Linked DNA regions of Nothobranchius furzeri. The protein of the gene in region 3 purifies or fractionates together with the protein of the main gene of each other region. This does not show direct contact. Links are inferred from orthologs where the notes say so. Each region holds a gene or a part of one and is shown on either strand. Other genes may lie near its edges.

The links.
Region 1: the proteins of sp1 (region 3) and rb1 purify together in Homo sapiens (affinity purification with western blotting; 3 studies listed by BioGRID). This does not show direct contact. The link is inferred for Nothobranchius furzeri from reciprocal best matches to the Homo sapiens genes SP1 and RB1.
Region 2: the proteins of sp1 (region 3) and stat3 purify together in Homo sapiens (affinity purification with western blotting; 4 studies listed by BioGRID and IntAct, with this or other methods). This does not show direct contact. The link is inferred for Nothobranchius furzeri from reciprocal best matches to the Homo sapiens genes SP1 and STAT3.
Region 4: the proteins of sp1 (region 3) and pparg purify together in Homo sapiens (affinity purification with western blotting; 3 studies listed by BioGRID). This does not show direct contact. The link is inferred for Nothobranchius furzeri from reciprocal best matches to the Homo sapiens genes SP1 and PPARG.
Region 5: the proteins of sp1 (region 3) and smad3a purify together in Homo sapiens (affinity purification with western blotting; 7 studies listed by BioGRID, with this or other methods). This does not show direct contact. The link is inferred for Nothobranchius furzeri from reciprocal best matches to the Homo sapiens genes SP1 and SMAD3.

Annotation. Positions count from the first base shown.
Region 1 is NC_091750.1:48,282,525-48,286,705, reverse strand, and holds the start of rb1 (retinoblastoma-associated protein), read left to right. Parts: upstream 1-1,358; 5' UTR 1,359-1,507; coding exon 1,508-1,614; intron 1,615-1,938; coding exon 1,939-2,059; intron 2,060-2,364; coding exon 2,365-2,468; intron 2,469-2,883; coding exon 2,884-3,018; intron 3,019-3,109; coding exon 3,110-3,148; intron 3,149-3,269; coding exon 3,270-3,319; intron 3,320-4,181. UniProt on the Homo sapiens protein: Tumor suppressor that is a key regulator of the G1/S transition of the cell cycle. The hypophosphorylated form binds transcription regulators of the E2F family, preventing transcription of E2F-responsive genes.
Region 2 is NC_091745.1:6,845,701-6,849,781, reverse strand, and holds the start of stat3 (signal transducer and activator of transcription 3), read left to right. Parts: upstream 1-1,250; 5' UTR 1,251-1,391; intron 1,392-3,681; 5' UTR 3,682-3,797; intron 3,798-4,081. UniProt on the Homo sapiens protein: Signal transducer and transcription activator that mediates cellular responses to interleukins, KITLG/SCF, LEP and other growth factors. Once activated, recruits coactivators, such as NCOA1 or MED1, to the promoter region of the target gene.
Region 3 is NC_091743.1:62,039,817-62,043,153, reverse strand, and holds part of sp1 (transcription factor Sp1), read right to left. Parts: coding exon 2,893-3,337; intron 1,463-2,892; coding exon 1,321-1,462; intron 102-1,320; coding exon 1-101. UniProt on the Homo sapiens protein: Transcription factor that can activate or repress transcription in response to physiological and pathological stimuli.
Region 4 is NC_091743.1:63,452,073-63,455,617, forward strand, and holds part of pparg (peroxisome proliferator-activated receptor gamma), read left to right. Parts: intron 1-3,210; coding exon 3,211-3,410; intron 3,411-3,545. UniProt on the Homo sapiens protein: Nuclear receptor that binds peroxisome proliferators such as hypolipidemic drugs and fatty acids.
Region 5 is NC_091749.1:43,502,271-43,506,309, forward strand, and holds the start of smad3a (mothers against decapentaplegic homolog 3a), read left to right. Parts: upstream 1-1,208; 5' UTR 1,209-1,434; coding exon 1,435-1,637; intron 1,638-4,039. UniProt on the Homo sapiens protein: Receptor-regulated SMAD (R-SMAD) that is an intracellular signal transducer and transcriptional modulator activated by TGF-beta (transforming growth factor) and activin type 1 receptor kinases.

The DNA.
Region 1 (4,181 bases), on a different chromosome or scaffold from region 3:
AAATGTGGATTGGAATGGCATATATATATATATATATATATATATATATATATATATATATATATATATATATATATATATATATATATATATATATATATATATATATATATATATATATATATATATATATATATATATATATATATTGAATTCTGATGAGCAAAAATATAATTTCGAATATCTGAGATTATATTTTTTTGTGTGAAAAGCTACAGGTCAGACAGCAGGAAATGATGAAGTTGTTTCACCTGTTGTAGCAAACTGAAGAACCACCTTGCTGGTGCCAAAATAAAAAATAAAGCTGCAAAACTGTCATCTATGGTACGTTCCACAGATCTATCCAAATAAATGTGTTTGTTCTAAGCGGTCTGTCTGTAATGTGTTGATGGGTTCATCTCTTTTGTACCTTTTTCAGTTTTATTAATACTTAAGATTCAGGTTATTGCTGCATCCCAGAAAAGGAAACGATTTGCTCAAGGCTGAAGGCTCTAAATTTTACTTAGTTTTTTTGCTTCAGCTCCCAACAAAAACAAAAACGTAGAGCGAGAAGTGAAATAAAAATTGTACCTATTTGTTTAGTTTTTATTTCATGTTACACAACTATAGATCTACCAAAACAAACTGGTACAGGAGTCTTTTACTTTCAAACTGCTTGAAGTGCTGTATATAAATTGAAATATTTCTGGGTATAGCTGGACCAAATGTTTACGCATCCTAACCACAACTCGGGATGGAAGTCTAAAACATATCTACTTGTAGAAAAGTTCATTCTGATAACTGTATTTCAGTTTTGACTAGTAAATGCTACACCGTAGATGATCGACTCGCTGTTTTTCCAAAACAAAGTAATTTCTGACAGAACTGTGTTTTTGGTGTATTTTATTAGAAGCAATGTAGTAACCATTGACTGTTTTGTGCGTTTTTTACATAAAAAAATATATATTTTAACTTTAATAGGTAGTTGAACGTAATATTACAGTAGTTTAAAGCTGTGGGCGCACTCTACTGTCCCTCAGTGGCGGGGAAAATGCAAAAGCGGATGTGACGTAGATATATTTTCCCGCGTTTTGGTCTCGTGAGTTAGGGTAAGTTCGTTTTGGGTTTTTTGTCACGTGGTCCTTCACGCCGGTCCGCGAGAACTATTAAAACAAACATAACGTTACGACTTGTTTATTGTAGTGATTTTTTAGATTTTTTTACGCCGTCGAGTTGAAACAAAACATGACTGTTGTTGGAACTCAGTAGGTGGTGTTTGTTAAGAAAATCATGAGCGTAAACTAGAGAGGGTGGGGTCACCGGCTCTCCGCCGCGCTCTCCTTTTGAACAAAAGAAGCACACACTTTCAACAGCATCAGGAAGCAGTTCGGATTTTGTTGTATTGTTGCTACGGAGCTTATTTGCGTGTCCAACCCGAATAATATTAGCCGTTGCCTTAAATAAAATAAAAAGTGCAAGTTTCTTGGGTTGATAAAAGTTGCTTGTCAGGTACCCAGAGACGAGAAGTATGCCACCTAAGAAACGTCACTCCGGGATGGTACACAACAAGCAGCCGAAGTCCGGAGCTGACAACGCCTCTCCAGACAAGGACAGTCCGGAATTATCTGAGAAAGAGTAAGAAAAGTAAAGATGTTTGAGTTACAACACAACACCAAGAGTGTCATCAGCTGTTGGGTTTAGTTTTACATTCATGTTTAGCTAGTTCTAGTAGTATTGATAGCTTTTCTGTGGCCATCTTGTTGGCCAAAGTTAACGCAGGCCTTTGTTGGTGCTAATATCTGAGTTTAAAGGGAATTTTTAGCCGTGAACATTATTAAATGGAGTAAACTGAACATAGACTCCTTATATTTGGACCTGTTAGGTTTACAGACAGAGAGAGAGAGAGCTGCTGCTGTTGGCTGTCTTTCATGTTGGGATCTGTGTGTTTTCATCTTCCAGACACAGAGACAAGGATGGAGAGTTTGTGAGTCTGTGTAAGAGCCTTCATGTTACTGGCCTGGTGTGTGACCGTGCCTGGTCCTTGTGGAAAATAGTGCAGGAATCCATGGAGATCGTTAAAGTAAGGATGAGGTTCAACCTAAGTATTCTCCACTGTCCCTTCTCTGGACATGTCCTCTGACTTTATCTCCCAAACATCTAACAAGAGCTGACCCTCTGATGGACTCATTCTTGATCACACCTTTTTTCTACACTCCATTACTTTGGACTGATGTGTTTAAAATCTTCCTCCTTTTCTCCAAACCCTCTGATCTGGGTCCCTCTCATTCATACACGTATTTTGTGAATGTTTATAGTGATACAGATAAATTTTATCCTGTTAGTTACATTGATTGTAACTGTGTATTTTTGTTTTGTTTTTTTAAGGATCGTCAGCTAAAGCTTTGGGGTGCTTGTCTGTTTGTGACTGTAACAGACATGGATGTTGGCTGTTTCACCTTGACTCAGATCCTAAAAGCTATCAGTATGAAGTAAGAACTGAGTGTCAGCTGAGTTTTCCTTGTGGTGCACTCTTCTAAAAGCATAACACATCTTTTTTGTGGTGTTTTGAATTATCGTTAGAATAAAGATGCTTGTCTAAAATTATACCATTATTATTTTTAATCATGATCCCCTCTCCCCTTTTTAGTTGCACTGACGTGGGTGCTCCCATGGCGGCTTTTCTCTGCTTCTATAGCAGCACTGTCTGTCCATGTTTTCCTCATGTTTCTTATCAATCAAGTAGAAGATTCAGTTTGGTTATTTAGTATCTTACATTATTTTTCCTTCTAATGTCTGAATACTGACAAGATAAAAAATGTGTTTTTAATGATTTTAGTAAATGGTTATTTGACTATTAGTAATAAATGCCCTTATTCTTAACGTTCTTTCTCCTTTTGACTCAAGTTTTAAACTCTTCATGGAACTGGTGAGGCAGATGGATTTGAACTTGGATACGATAAGCACCAAAGTGAACTCTGTTCTTACACGACTGGAGAAGAAATATGATGTGCTGTTAGCGCTCTACCAGAGGTTTGAGAAGTGAGTGAACACGGACACTTTTCATTCCGTCGGAGTGGTAACTGGCAAAGATTTAAACACGACATAACATTTTCTTCTTCTTTTTTGTAAGAACCTGTAAGAAGATCTTTACCTCGACCACGTATGGCAAGTAAGTTGAGTTTAAGCTCTATTTGTCACACATTTTATGTGTTTTGTTTCGTTAATGTTGGATTTTTTATATCACAAACTGTTTTCTTGTATAGTTAATATTTTATTGTCTCCTTTTAAAGGGAGAGAGAGACGATGCAGACATGCTGGACAGTGTTTCTTTTGGCCAAAGGTAATTGTCCTTTTTTAACACGCTAACAAGTGAACACATTAGGGCTGAGTACATAAACTGAATACATTGGGTTGGCACTGATATAGAAAATAAACATCCTTGTTAATGAGCCACACAGTTTCATACCATTGGCTGCTGCAGGTCATGTGACTGGGGGTGGGCTGCTCTCTTATTCACACACAGTATATTTACAACACTTCTCTGAGTTTGCGGACAATAATAACATGGAAAAAGTGGAAGTTTTGCTCACATGTTGTGACTGTAAACATCCGAGCTAAACGTAACATCTGGGATCACATTTGTGTCGTATGGAAAAATCAGCAATTTCATAATTCATGGCGCCATTTTGCAAGCCAGTGCATGTCATTGACTGCCCATAAATAAATAAATAAATAAATAAAATAAAAGTAGACCATGTTTGCAGTGTAATAGTTTTGACTTGCTTTGCCTCTTGTTTAAAAAGCATGTTCATTTCTCCATTTCTTTGGGTTTATCTTTCATTTTGGGTTTTGAGAGTAGATGTTTCATATTTACCAAAGAATAAATCAAAGTTTACATTTTATCTTCATACTGTTTACTTTTGTGTAGCACAAATAAATACCACTGTTTTTAAATACAAATATCCAAAATAGGTGTTCTCTTGCTTTAGGTGAAGGATAGGCGTTTGTTAAATTATAGCTTACTGTTTACACTGAACGTTTACTGCATTTTTTTTTCATAAACAGAAAATTTAAGTACTTTTTCCTCTTACAATAGACCTAAAATATAGCTACATGAACAAAAGAATCATTAAAGTTCAGGGGTCTCATTTATCAAACGTTGCGTAGAATCTTTACTAAAACTGTACGTAAGCTCAGCAAAC
Region 2 (4,081 bases), on a different chromosome or scaffold from region 3:
GATAAAGAGCAAAACATAATGGGAGGATACATCTCTTACGGTAATCTATTCTGAATGTGAAGTCAACTGCCTGTGGCAGCGTTCAACCTTTGTCACATTAGATCATGAGAGGAAACCGTGCAAGGCTCCAGACAGAAACAAGAGGAGTGCTTCTGTTTCTTCCTCCCTGCAGACTTCTATGACCTTGATGTGTTTGCAGGCACCCAGAAGCATTGTGGCAGAGGAAACACCACCCAAATAATCAATGGATGGGGAAATGCAATTAAGGAAAGTGTTTACTCTCTCTCTCTCTCTCTCTCTCTCTCTCTCTCTCTCTCTCTCTCTCTCTCTCTGTGAAAGCTAAGCAGTGAGAAAGACAAAAGAAAGCATGCGTGTGATCGTGTTACAAGTCTATGCAAACTATTACAACACACCAAGGGGAATTGTTATCTTTACATAAAAATAAATTATATGCTTGTAAGATTATCATTTTTATTTTATAGCTTTATCTTTGTGTTGATTTTTGACAGATATATAAACGATCTCCCATTACCTAAATGTGTTTTTGCAGCGGTGTAATTCAGTTTTCTTTTCTTTTCACTGTTGCATCTGTAAGTGGCGTATGGCCTTGATGTCACTGACTGTACCTGCCAGACTCAAGGTGTTTTGGCCAAACAGGTTCAATATTAATAAACGCTTATTACATAATCCACCAGTTTAAGGTTTGTTGACTGTTTTATCTATCTATAAATCCATTTATCCACACGTGTGTCATTTATAAATATTATTTTAAATAAACTTAGTTTGATTACGTTTGGACACTTGTATTAATTATTTTTGTCCCGTTAGGATTAACACTAAACTGCAGATGTGTTATTAGACTCGGTGACGTCAGCATTGCCAGTAACTCAGATGACTTCCAGGCTGGCTCTTCTTTTCAAACGCCTTTCCTCCCTCCGTAACAGCCGAACATGCTGTTCTTTGAACGGAAAACCCCGAGGAGGGAGGACTAAGAGGAACAGCCCAGTTGCGACAGCAGTAAACATAGCACTCAACCAAACATGCTGTTACGCCGCGCATCTTTTCGTCACACATCTGCTCTGATTTGGTTAACAGAAATTTCTATATTGCTATTTGCCACTTGGAATGTCAATCAACAACAGAAGCGCGTTTGATTGGCTGAAAAGACTTGCAGAGCGGCTGATGGGTTGGGCTACTGGCTCTAGGGTTGAAGAAGTGTTTCTCGTGTTGTTAAGGGAAGAGTAAAGGTTGGCATCTTTTGTGAGTGTTTTCTCTCGTTTATGTGGGTTTACCGTTTTAGAAGAAATTAAGTGTTGCCTTCAGTGTACTTTTAGTTAACAGTTTTCGGGTTTTTGTCGGAGAATCTTTCCAAAGACGTGACAACGACTCGGGTAAGCGACTGCATTCAAACTAACTTACTCCATCTTTATTTGTGAATGTTTTTTTTATGTAAACCCGTTATCAGTTTATATTTACTAATGGCCATGATATAAAAGGCTTGGCCAGCTGAACGCTGCTAAACGCCTATTTGTGCTGGTCATAAGTTATTCTGTGTGCAGAAACATTGTGTTCCGCTATGGCATATAGCAAAGTTATTATTGCCTTACTGCTTTTAATTAATTATTTCCGATATAAAATATTACAGCTAAGACGTTCAGTCTTGAATAGTTGTTTTTTTTTCTTTTGTTGTTGTTGTTTACTTTCAATAATGTGTTTTGGCTCAATTTATCAGTAATTTCGATCTGTTGGTAAAACAAAACAAAAAAAAATTAAAAAAACAGTAAAAGAGAGAAAGAGCATCTTCCAGGATATGAATATGACCCCATAAAATTCCAGGCCAGTGTTTGTTATAAGCCGTCGTTGTTGTCACGCTCATCTTCACCCCATCATGTGCAGAGCTGCATAACAGGATCAGATCCATGATCACTTTCAAAATTAAAAGAAAAGAAAAGTGTAGTATTGACTAATGACACTTACTATTTTAGTTTGATGATGTTACAACTGAAAAAGAAAACCCATTATGATCATCATTATTATTGTGTCCAATAACCCGCAAGTGTCCTGCCTGTTAACTGTCAGTAAAATGACAAACTTGGCATGATTGCTTCTTTTTTTTTTTTTGTGGAGAGCTCTACTTCCTGGAATGTGGCTTGTCTGTTTTAAGGAATCTCATTGTGCATTACCGTAAGTGGTAAATGCTCACTGACAAAACACACCTAACAAGATTAGAATTTTTTTTTTATGAGTCATGTTGAATATTGAAGTCCTACTCTGCCCGTCTGGAGTGTGAAAATACTCATATGATGGGATACTGACAAAATTAGGCCAAATCATTGTCTGTGTGTAGCTTTGTGTAACATGAGCATCTTCAAAAGGTTCCTATCATGTATCATGTGAAATGTGTGTGACCTCAGCAAAAGGTCTTTGTAAAATATCCACCAAACAAAGGGCACAGTCCTGGGACTCACCAGTGCATCAGTTTACAGAAAATTTTGGCTGTTTTTACCTTCTTAGCTAAACAAAAGAAGTAAATAATCAAGCACTACTGTGTCTCCTCTGTGACTGTAGACACTGAATAATTGATTATACAGCCAGGACCCTCCCCAAACATAATTAAATCATCAAAAACATGAGAGAGATAACTCCAGTAGCATTTATTCTTTTTGGATAGCAGGTAAGAAGGTAGGGCGTTTGTTCAAAATTTTCTAAATAAAGCAGTACCATTGATTTGACCATGGGCAATCCTCTTGTGATGTCACGTTTGTTGGGGTTTCACTTCCTCAGCAATTCTCACCATGTGTTAGCATCATTTTCATATACCAGTGAAAGAGGAGCATGTGTGATGTGAACTTATATAAGGTGACACAAATGCTTAAAAAACACCTTTTTAGCTCAGTTCTTATTTTATTACAGCGTATTAACTACTGTATCAAAACATGTTTGAATTTCAGCGTATTAAAGGATAAAATGAAAGCTTATGAAACACTGTTTTTCCATTGACCTTTAAATTTGGCAGAAACAGGTGATGCTGATATCCATCCATCCATCCATTGTCTGAACCCGCTTTGTCCACATATGGTCTCGGGGGGGGGGGGGGGGGGGGGGGGGGGGGGGGGGGGGTGTCAATGAGCAATCAGGCGGGGTACACCCTGGACAGAGAGCCAGTCCATCGCAGGGTGATGCTGATATCGCTGACCTTATTCTTTTTAGCTTTTACAAAGGAGTCACGCCTAAATGTAGAATAGCCTCCCTTCATATTCCAAGTCACGTGGCCTAATGTACACAGATTTACGATGAAACTATTAATCGTGTGTGCTGTCAGATAAGACCTACATAATGCTGATGTTTTGGGTGTTTTGAATGGAATAAATTATTAAATGTTTCTGTTTCTTTTAAATATGCTGAATCATGAAAGATTTTGACAGAATATTAAGTCCCAAGTTTTATCGTTTACAATTTTATCAACACTTACGGCTGTTTTATTTAGTGGATCGCATCATGAAACCAAACAGAAGGGCTGTTACACTAGCTCTGCTTTAGCTTGTGTATACAAATACTGCCAAGCTCATTGTACAAGTTAAGATTGTGTGCTTCACCAGAGTTTAGGTGATACCGTAACATTATCCTTGTAATGTAAGCATTAAACAAAAGCTTTGCTTTGGTATTTAATTTCCATGACAGGGAAGACGGCTCTGCTGGATTCACTGAATACCTTTTTTGTCGGTGTGCAGAAGACAGTAATCCTCCAGGGACCCATGCAACCTCATTTTGGTCAGATAAAAGCCTTGTGTAACAAGGTAAATGAAAGATCTGATCTGAAGTTGCATTATAATTCTAAGAAATGCAATGTGAAGTTAATCATTAAAGACAGGAATGGTTCTGTAGTTTCTGATCCATGTGCTCTGTCGCTGACAGCTGAGGAAAGGAAGTGTGTTTTTTTCTTCATTGTTTCTAGTAAGCCTTTATACAAAAAACATTGGTTGAGATTATTAACTTCTCTCTACTTCGAGAGCTGACAGCTGTTCAGGACGTCCTGTATTTCTTGGCGGAAGTCTAGCGTTTCAGCAAGCAGGAAGTGACG
Region 3 (3,337 bases):
CAGTGTGCCAGCGGAGATGTGCTCTGAGGTGGGATGTCTTGCCGTAAATTTTCCCACAGCCACTAATGTGACAAATGTGCTGCTTCTTTTTATTTGGGTCTCTGTTGGACAAATAAAATAAACAATTGCCAAAACATGAGTTTGAAAGAATTATTTGCTTCCAAATTTCTAGGTCAAATTACCCTCTGTATCGAAGTAAGAATGGACACTAACCCCAAAATTCCACTATCTCCGCTCCGCTGCGCTCCGGCACGAACTCCGCAGCAAAATCGATCCCGTTGTAATCAATCAGAGCTGTTCCACTACTGTGGCCGTGCGGCGCAGTGCGCCGCCCGCCGTTCCGCCATCCGGCAAAAATAGGATCGATTCTATTTTTGCCGGACGCCGGAGCACCTCCGCAGTCAATGGACAGAAACCACAACCGCCCAACAGGAAAAGGAGTAAACACAGCTTCCGTTATTTCACAATAAATTGATTAAAAAAAGGCGTTTTTTGTTTCATATGCACAGGTTTAACAACTTTTAACAACTATCAATGGCGGCTGAACTTTAAATGCACAAAAATAAGCCATAAATACAGTTTCTACAATCAAAGTAGTCACACTTTGTTGATCCAAGCACTGCTGATCTCTCAACACAAATGATGGGCAGATTAAACAGTTCATTTCGATGCTGCTCCCACACAACGGGTCGGGTGTTTGGATCTAAGTTCCACGTTTATTGCTCGGACTGTATTGCAAGATCTCGAAAATCCCGCGCATGCCCGTTTGCGCACCTCAGGTCTCCGCACCGGAGCGGGTACCAGTAAAAATTGAGTTCGGAAGGGAGCGGCTGCGGAAGGCGGGGGCGGAGCGGAGGTAGTGGAATTTTGGGGTAATGGAAGATTGCAGGAACTTAAAACATTAGTTCTTCATTCTATCATCACCAATGCTCACTCGTCTCTTGGTGATTTCCATAGTGGAAAATGAATAAACAACGTATAACAGTCAAAACACTTGGACAACACTTCCTTTTATCCAAACTTATTTTGAGCCTGAGAGGGTTAAAAAAAAAACACATGAGCAATTAAATGGTTTCAAACAGCAAACCTGAATTACCTCACCACTAGATGTCACTAAATCTCATGTAATGAAAGAAAAATAGACATTTTTGACCAGCATTGACAAATGTACTTACGAAATGTTTTTTTTTAAGATAAAAGCATGTTTTGTTTTTGTGAAAAACTAATTACAAATAACATTTCATCATAAGAACATAAAAACTCAGAGTTACATTAAAATCTGACCAGGATGACATTATAACATAACCTTCAGTCACTCACCGGGCTTCTCCATCTTTGCAGAAAGGACAAGTGCAGGCTTCTCTGCGGTTCCGGCGCCCCTGAGAGGGTGGGCTCATGCTTGCATCTTCCATAACTGCACTACTGTCCAAACTTTCTCCAGCAGTCAGCAACGGCTGCTCACCTACACCCATGAAGGAAGAGCGTGGGAAAAAGTGTTGAGGATTTTCTTTGTCTGAAGAAATTTTATTTATCAAACTCGGTATAGAAAACAACCACACTTTTCAGCAAGGTTTCTACTTAATTTTTTATGACAATAACAAGTTGCCGTTAATTGTCTGCAGCTTAGCCAGAATGGCTGAACAACTGGTCAATGCATTTTGCATCCATGGGAAGAGAAGTGCATGCTTAGACTGAACACCAAAAACTCAGCTTCATCTCCACATAGCTGGCTAACTGGAGAGGATTATAGTGTTTTGTTGTACCATTGTAAACAAAACCATTCAACCAATTTGAATGATACGAATGTTTACGCTTTTTTTTACCCTCCACACTTGTGTAAATGCTAGTGTAAAGTCAGCTCTGACACTGAAAGGTGAATCAGATATTCCATAATTGATTTCTCACAATTGTTGGAATTTGCTCAATTTAGGAGCAACAAACACAAACAGGGTTGAGAGAAGAGGGGAATGGTCCTGTGCTGTAATCAGGGTAACTGCAGGTTGAAGTGAGTCAAATTTAAGACTTTTTAAGACCTTTTTTAAGGCCACTTTGACCAAATTTAAGCTATTTTTTAAAATGTAATTTCTGCTATAATTTCCTAACCACGCCACGAACGTGGGATTAGCCATCCAGTTACCATTAAACTTGCACTTCTCCATGGCGTAAGCTCCCACTAGCTTAACCAGCGAATGTGCTCATCTAAAAATAGCTCCCTTTCACAACCAACTGAATATGTGCGGTTCCGCTTACACCAACATCGTACACAAAAAATGCTGAACACTAACTAGAAATTCACAAAAATGTCATAGAAATAAAACAGTCTAGTTTATTGGGTCTTTGGTAATTTAAGACCTTTGGAAACTGTATTTAAGGATTATTTGTCATTTTTAAGGATTTTCAAAGCCTTAAATTTGGAAAAGTCAATTTAAGACTTTTTAAGGACCCGCGGATACCCTGTGTAATACAGTAACTATGCCAAACTGCCTTCAGTGTAATTTAACTATCAGATGAAGAAATCGAACACAAACAGCTTGTTTACAGTTTAAGGCTCAGGGAAAACTCAGATAGTAGAACTGGTTTAACCAGAATTTAACTTGCATGCAAAGTGAAGCGATACCAAACATCGAAACCTCATTTTAAAGATACTAATCCTGAGACATTGTTGTTGTTTGCATGTACTTTTTCTCTTTTTGCATCTAAATTTTATCATATTTAGGAAATAAATGGTTCGTAAACAGTCATGATAAAATGTGGGCTAATTAAATAGAAATGACACAAATTTGTTTTCCATAACTCAGGAGTTATAGAAAGCATGGTCCTACTGTTGACTGGAGGTTATTATAAAGCATATTGAGACACATAATGAGAAACTTATAAACAAGCTGGTCTAACCTGATGCACCTGTGATGTTGATGGGGATTCCCTGCAGAGGATGCATCTGCAGCCCTGTGCTTCCAAGTGAGTTGAGATTTATGGTCTGAAGATTTGGGATCTGCACCGGTACCGTTCCAGCTCCGGTAGCTCCTTGAGTCTGCCCGAGCTGGGGCAGAGACTGCACTGGGGCTAGTGTTATCTGTGCACCTGCTGGACTCTGGATGTGAAGGGTCTGCCAGCTAACCTGGCCATTAGGGCCTACAGTGCGCAGGAGGATAGGCCCTGTGTTTGGCATAATCTGAAGATTTTGAAGCCCCTCTTGGCTGAGTGTTGGAGCTGCAAACACCTGACCACCTGCACTTGCAACGGTACTGGCTTGTATGGTCTGAAGAGGTGCTCCACTTTGAATAACCTGAGGAGACTGAATGAGGATTTGTTGAGGCTGCTGCTCTGCTCTGTTGTC
Region 4 (3,545 bases), about 1.4 Mb from region 3:
AAGGCATTCATTCCCACTAGAGACCACAGCAAATGTACTGATTACCTAATTCGCTGCCAGTCGTTTCCTGATCAGTAAAGCCCTTCGCTGCCAGCGTTTCTCACCGTTTTTACTGTTTTTTAAGAGTCACAAAACGTTGCGCCCTAGGATGATGTCGACGCCAAAACAACCAAAACAAAGCGGAGACTCACCTCTTATGTCGGGAAGAATCTGCGCGTTTTGAGCTTTATCCGCTCTTTGTCCGTTCTTTCATAATCCGTTGTTGAACAGAAGCTTTTCCGGTTCGCGCCTCACTTTTTTTAAAGCAGCGGCCCAAAACGATCTAACACATGGATTTTCTGCTTCCTGATCACGTGACGTGTGACGTATGCGGATGAAGATCGGCTTTAGAGCTGAGGTATTTGTTCTCACTGTGCGGGGGCTCGTTCCGATGCCCACACAGTTAAAAAAAATGCAAATGACGGCTTTAGTCGTCATTGGCAGTGAATGAGTTAAACAAGTGTTCTAGACCTTTAAATGATTGTTTCATCATTTTCTTTCTTTTCTCTGGTTTTCTCAAGCTATTTAGTCTATTAACTGCTTCCTGTTTGCTACTATGAGCAAATATGGTCTTTTAAAACTTGAATCAAATATACTGCTGCAGTAGTTTCTCAGTTATGCAAAGGCAAGCTGACTGTTAAATTTCATTTTTTTTCTACCAGAAGCATAACAGTTAGAAGAAAGCAGCTTGTTCATCAGAATCTTCTCGTTAAGACTCTTCAGAAGCTACCCTCCAATGCATTGACCTTATGGGTGGAGTTGGTGAACAAAATATTTACATTTAGATTTATGAGCAAAAGTGCTGCACATTAATGTTACAATCTACTATAATTGGTTTGTTTATCTGTGTGTGTGTGTGTGTGTGTGTGTGTGTGTGTGTGTGTGTGTGTGTGTGTGTGTGTGTGTGTGTGTGTGTGTGTGTGTGTGTGTGTGTGTGTGTGTGTGTGTGTGTGTGTGTGTGTGTGTGTGTGTGTGTGTGTGTGTGTGTGACTCAGCCCACGTTCACTCCTATCTCGCTGCTTCATGAGTTTACAGCCGAGGCTTTGAAAATGTGCCCAGTGTGGGTTTTTAATTTACCAATGATTGACATCTCAGAGCACTCCGAGTTTAACCGATTTCTCCAAACATGCTGTGTCACTACTGCAGGCTTGTTGCTCAATAAGTGGTAGGCCCACTTTTTTTGTTTGGATTAATTTGCACAAGGTGTGCTTTCATCGAATACACAAGAGTTACACAACCACGTAAAGCTGCAGTAAAAGCAGGTTTGAATGGAAGTGGGGGATAATTAATGATTTCCACCTTTTAAGAAACGGTTAGACGTCACTGAATGGCACGAAATCTTTCCTAATTCTCACCAGACTCTGTGCAAATTCAACTTTCAGTGTAAACTTAGCCAAAACTACATTTAAAGTAGTGAAGTTAAATTAACAGCCTGAAAGACTATAATGTTGTGAGTGCCACAAAAATATACTTCAAACAAACTACGCTTCTAAACTCGATGCTCTGAATATTTCTAGACAAAAAGAGCACACGCTTTTTGCAAATGAAATCAAACCCGCCCTCTTTGTTCAGTATTGTTAAATGTTTGGTGTTAAATTACCTGCAGCAACAGAAGGGAAGGGGAAAAACTGTAGATAGGGATCATTTTTCAGTGAGTCGTGTAAATTAAATCACAAAGCTATCATCACGGTAAGGGAACTAATACACAACTGCTAAAAATGTTACAGGACCATTTATCTTAAGTTATTACCTCTGCATCTGTCTTCGTGAGGCTCGGTTAAAAGCTGTCTAAGAATTCCCTTCATGTCTCTGTTCTGGGTTCAGCCTTTAAACGCTCGGAAATCTGGTTTCACATCATGAAAAAAACTGCTTTAGCCTGTTTGTGATGCAGTTAGATATTAGGAACTGTTCAGGGAGTTTAACATACAGTGTCATTCAGCTGGAATAAAAATTTCTGTGCTTCAGTAATATTTGTTAGGTCCAGATAGAAGGTCATCATGTGGACGTTAGCCGTTCTATCTAATTCATAGATCGCCGTCTAAATATTTTAGCTCTTAGGAAACTGAGCCACTGCACAAGCAGCTGAAAGGCTCCAAAAGAGAAGCATTATGCAGCTACTTAAAACAGACGTCAGTTTACAATGGTAAAGGTAAAATAGGAAGGTTGTGGATTTAGGAGTTAAAGCAGAAATCTGGAGTTTTCCCCTTTCAGGATTTAATAATTAAGTTTTAGAAATCCATAAAAGTGATATTCTTACTTTGTACGCTGATATAATGTAGACAGTAAGTCATTTTTTTAGTTTGCTAAGTCTAAACACCCCCCCCCCCCACCACCACCACCCCACCACCCCCACAAACACACACACACACACACACACACACAGAGCCCCATGCAGTTTGAATTGAGCGCCGCTCATCTTTAGCCAATAGCATCACAAATCCACTTTTGTCACCAAGCATGCTTGAGTGTTTGAGGACGTATAGACAATGCAGAGTTGGCGGCATTTCTTTTGGACAAGTAAGTATTTAAAATATATGTGAATAAGCTGGATAACATGAAAACAGGGAGTTAAACATACAGTATCATTCAGCTGGAATAAAAATTGCAAACAGTGTTAGACTCAGGCTGAAATGTTTCATCTAACACCGTTGTGGTGGGGAATAAAAAGTTTAAAGTTCCAAAGACAAAAGGCCATTGATTCATTTACTGCTTTTGTTATGCAACTCTTTACCAGCGTAGAAATAAACATTCTTCTATTTTCACCAAAGAAAAAAGGTTCAATTTAAAGCTTTGCCAAAGCTTTTTTTAAATTACTTTTTTTTCATATCTCCAGAGTTAAATGTAATTGCAATGTAAAACGATGTTTTATCTGTGGGCCGGCTAGAGATGCGTGTTCACGACTAAGTGTTGTTGCTTCTAACCAAAATCACGGAAGTATCTGTGAGGGGCTAAAGGTGCAATACGTTTTTCTGCCTCGGTGCCCTCTGACAAAAATCTTCGGATTTCTGCTTTAATGTAAACAATAAAGTTATAAACAAATTGTCTATAGCTCAGTTTGAAACACCACAACGGTGTTAGATGAAACATTTCAGCCTGAGTCTAACACTGTTTATTTGTGTATTTTTTGTTTTTCCGTGGTGCTCTAATGTACATTTCTGTTTCCTTTCCCAGCCATTCGTTTTGGCCGCATGCCCCAGGCGGAGAAGGACAAACTGCTGGCCGAGTTCTCATCCGACATGGAGCATTTGCACCCGGAGGCAGCGGATCTGAGGGCTCTGGCCCGCCATCTCTATGAAGCCTATCTAAAACATTTCCCCCTCACCAAGGCCAAGGCCAGAGCCATCCTCTCTGGGAAGACTGGAGAAAAAGTGGTAAGAAGATCTGCCCAAGTTCCACTTAAATAATGTTGATTTCTGGGAAAATTTGGCATAGGAATACAGAAAGCAGGGATTAGTCAGCGATTCAGCTGAAAGCTGTTGTTGTGTCCCCACCAGTTAAGCCTGTGT
Region 5 (4,039 bases), on a different chromosome or scaffold from region 3:
TTTCTGAGTGATAAAAACCCACAGAGGACCACCTTCTTCGTTGAAATGCATTTATGGCTACCCACTATCACTGTCTGAGCTCAGCTCTACTCCACACTCAGTCGTACATCTGGCACTTGACTCTTTGACATTCAGTGCATGAAGGAGGGGGTGTTTATGCATATGAGAGTGTGTGCATGTGCTTGACTATAGCTGTAATTTAAAGGCTGAACCAAGCAATAAACTAAATTGCCACCTTGAGGAGTAGCAGCACTCATCTGAAGGCCTAACAAGCCGAGGCAAGAAAGTGTGCAAACTCATGCATGCGTGCAGCTACTTCTATTACCTTCTGTCTTACAGCAGCTCCAGTGTTATTCAGTCGTGTGAAGGTAGAACAACCCAGAGAGCATTACTGGAAAGTTCTGTGTTAGAGATCTCAAGCCCCAGGTGTTTACACAACAAACACACACTGGACATATTTTACACTACACCTTAACCTTTAGACACTTGAGCATATGACGATTTCTAAAAACATAACATATGAGCAAAAAATGAATGTATTCTCCTGGTAAATCAGAAAAAAATGTTAGTGTTGAGTGGGAAGAAACAAAAATGTGATATTACAGTTTGAACTGTGTTACATAAAGTTAACTGAGATAAAGTCATTTAAATAAACATCAAAGCTTCTTTGTTCCTCTGAAGAAAAAAACATACATTTTTAAGTGCACTAGTGTGGACAAAAAATAAATAAACTGGTTGGTGTTACATAACTGAATCAAGTGCTGCGTATGACCGCTTTTATAGACCGCAGCAGTTTGCTAGCATGAGGAGAGGCAGTGATTGTGCAACATCAGCACGGCCCCTTTGGCCAGCTGCTGTGACAGAGCTGCTACAGGTCTGCAGCAGTCTGAAGCCTGAATAGAGTCTGAGCAGCAACTCCTGCATTTGCATCTGATGCAGACTTCAAGCAGATTTCAGCCGGCGGACTACACACCGCGGAGGGTTCTGAACTTCACAAAACTTTGCGCTTCGAGGATTAGAACAGTCAATAAAACACACCACTAGCGTTACTCCTTTATTTTTTAACGTTTTATTCATAGTTTTAAATCGTATTTTAATTCAGGTTGGAGTTATTTAAATAACATTTGCTTGAGTAGGTGCAGACGGACTAGTTGGTCTTGCGGAGCAGCACTAAATCCACAGCACCAAAGAATACCGGTGCACAATCCGCCGTTTACCTCCTCGAGCCAGGGTAAACGAGTTCGCTAAAACTGAGAAGTTTGGCCCTGGGATGCTCCTGTGTAGCTCTAGATAAAAAACAATAACTTTTTAGCGAAGACTTGCTCTCTTCGTCACTGCGTAGACCGCCACAAAGGTAGTCGTTTTCGTATAACGTCCAGAAGAAAAAAAACCCAGCAGACTTCTCGAGACAGGACGGACTTGACTGAACTCAAGATGTCAATTTTGCCTTTCACTCCCCCCATCGTCAAAAGACTTTTGGGCTGGAAGAAGGGAGAGCAGAACGGCCAGGAGGAGAAGTGGTGCGAAAAGGCGGTGAAAAGTCTAGTGAAGAAGCTGAAGAAGACGGGACAGCTGGATGAACTGGAGAAAGCCATCACCACGCAGAATATCAACACAAAATGCATCACCATACCGAGGTAAGGAGAGCTAGCAGGTTGGTTTGATGCTGACCGTAAAGTTAGCATCTCACGCGCTGTTTTATCCGTTTATTACAGCTTTATAACAAATTATACCAATCTGCCACTGCTTTTACTGTCTATTGCACGTTAAAGGCACCACTTCTTGTGTGAGAAGCAAATATTTCCAGATATTTTCTCGCGTTAATATTTCAAACTCAGTTATTTAGCGTTTATTAAACATCAAAGTTTTAGCTAAGGAAACAGTTCACCAGCTAATCTGTAAATTACGGCTCAAATGTATTATTGTCTGTTATCTATGTGTCATCATATTGCTATTTTGCACTTCAAGTGAATTGAAACAACTCCTAGCAGCTTGGTATGACCCAGATTATGTTGTCAAAAACACGTTTTAAGCATAACGAGCCAATAGCACACATGCAATGTGCACTGGTAGTTATATAACTTGGCCTTAATCTGGAACGTTTTCTAGCGTTGTTAGTGCGTAGGCGAGTCTAGATGGGCTCTCTATCTTCTCTCAATGCCTCTATACAGACATATATCAGCATTTTTATTTAATACAAGTAAATCCACTGCAGGTTACTATGTGTAACAGGTGCTTTCATAGCGTGGGCAGAATTGGAGGCAATGCAACAGCAAACACGAGAAAATATGTAAAAAAAAAACGCAAATAAAGGTGTTTATCATTTGACAAAATATATTAGAGACAAAAATGCTCTCATGGGATGAAAAGTTAACATTTAACACTCTAAATTAATTAATTCAAACGATCTCCTTGGAACAGTAAATAATTCAGCTGTGTTTGGTTTTCAGTGGTCAGATGAATAAATTATGAATAGTGGTTTGGCTTATTGATTTCATTTTTTTTCTCTGCAAGGAGGAGGGAAACATAGCTGTCAGCTGGATTAATAAATGCCATTTTTAGCTCTGACAATTCTAAAGGCTGTATTATTTAACCATCAGTGTGTGCACTTTGGGATGAAACAGTGCTTCACGATTACTGATGGCAACTTTTTCATTAGGTAACAAGTTGGTATTCACTGAACCAAGCAGGAGTAATGTGCAAACGGCCAAGAAGCAAACCGCTAATGAAAAATGCTTAAAAATTTTAAAAGATTTTACCATCTTAAGGTGGCAACGTGTAGTTTCCTGGTGCCAGGGGGCAGTACATACATTTCAGGGTAGTTTTACACCATATTGCTGTGACTGTCGCTAGTTAAAAAAAAAAAACATTACCGTAAATGTTGTTACCTGTGGAACAGAAAGCATGCAACCTTGGCGTGTCTCCTCAAACTTTGATTGTTCTTCAGGTATTTCCATAGAGAGAATGCAATGCAGATGCTAATTTTCTGGTGCTGTACTTTCCAGAGCTGCTCAGGGGTCCTGCGCTTGCCAATGATGTAGTGGTGGGCAGTATAAACTATATAAGGTAGAAACGATATAAAATTGGGTAATGATAGAGTTTTTGGCTCTATCATGGTAACACATGGTGTCAATAAATGTGCACTCTCCCTGACATTGGGACAACAGAATGGCAGTGACTGCAAGTATGGAGAGGGCAGAGGAGGAGGAGCATTCTACTTTTTGGACGTCTTTATTCTGCTGCAATATATTTGCCAAATGTGGATTTTTAAAAGCATGTCATTTTGACATATATTAACAGAGGAAAAAATACATCGCAATAAATATTGTTATTGCACATGCTTCAGATTATATCAGAATATATATTTTAGGCCATATTGCCCAGCCCTACGTCATCATACTACGAAAATACCGTTCAGCCAAATATATATTGCATCTCTTTTTCAATTCTGTTCTCTCACATAGGTTTTGGAAAAAGTTTAGCAGTTTTGTTATTAAATTATTGTTTCTCACTGCCAAGATATTTTTGAATGTGGTAACGTAACTTCTGTAGGTTGTACGCTTAGCCAATCATCTAGTGTGATATCATCGACAGGCACAAGCTTGCGAGCCCTCCAGAAGGAAACTTGGCATCTAATATGGCGTCCTCCAAAGATTTTTGACCTGCACACAATGCAGTTTACACTCAATTTTTATGGTTATATGGTACAATGCTGCCAATATTTTTCAACAACTGGACATCATTTAATTTATTTTCAACATTGTTTTGATGGATATTTACAGAGATTAATGGTATAAACTACACATTGCCTCTTTAAAGTAACTGATAATTGTATTTATTGTTGTTTGTAGCATCCTTTCTTTATATTTGTTAATCTGAGGGAGTTATTAATCTAGTTTTGACTTTTGTTCCAAGCAGTCACTTGATTTATTGCCAGCAAATTGGACACATTATACATTAGTCAAAATGATTATGAACTGTATCTGTAAATCAAAGTATTCTAAACATCAGAATCACTTTTAACTCCTCTGCACGTGTG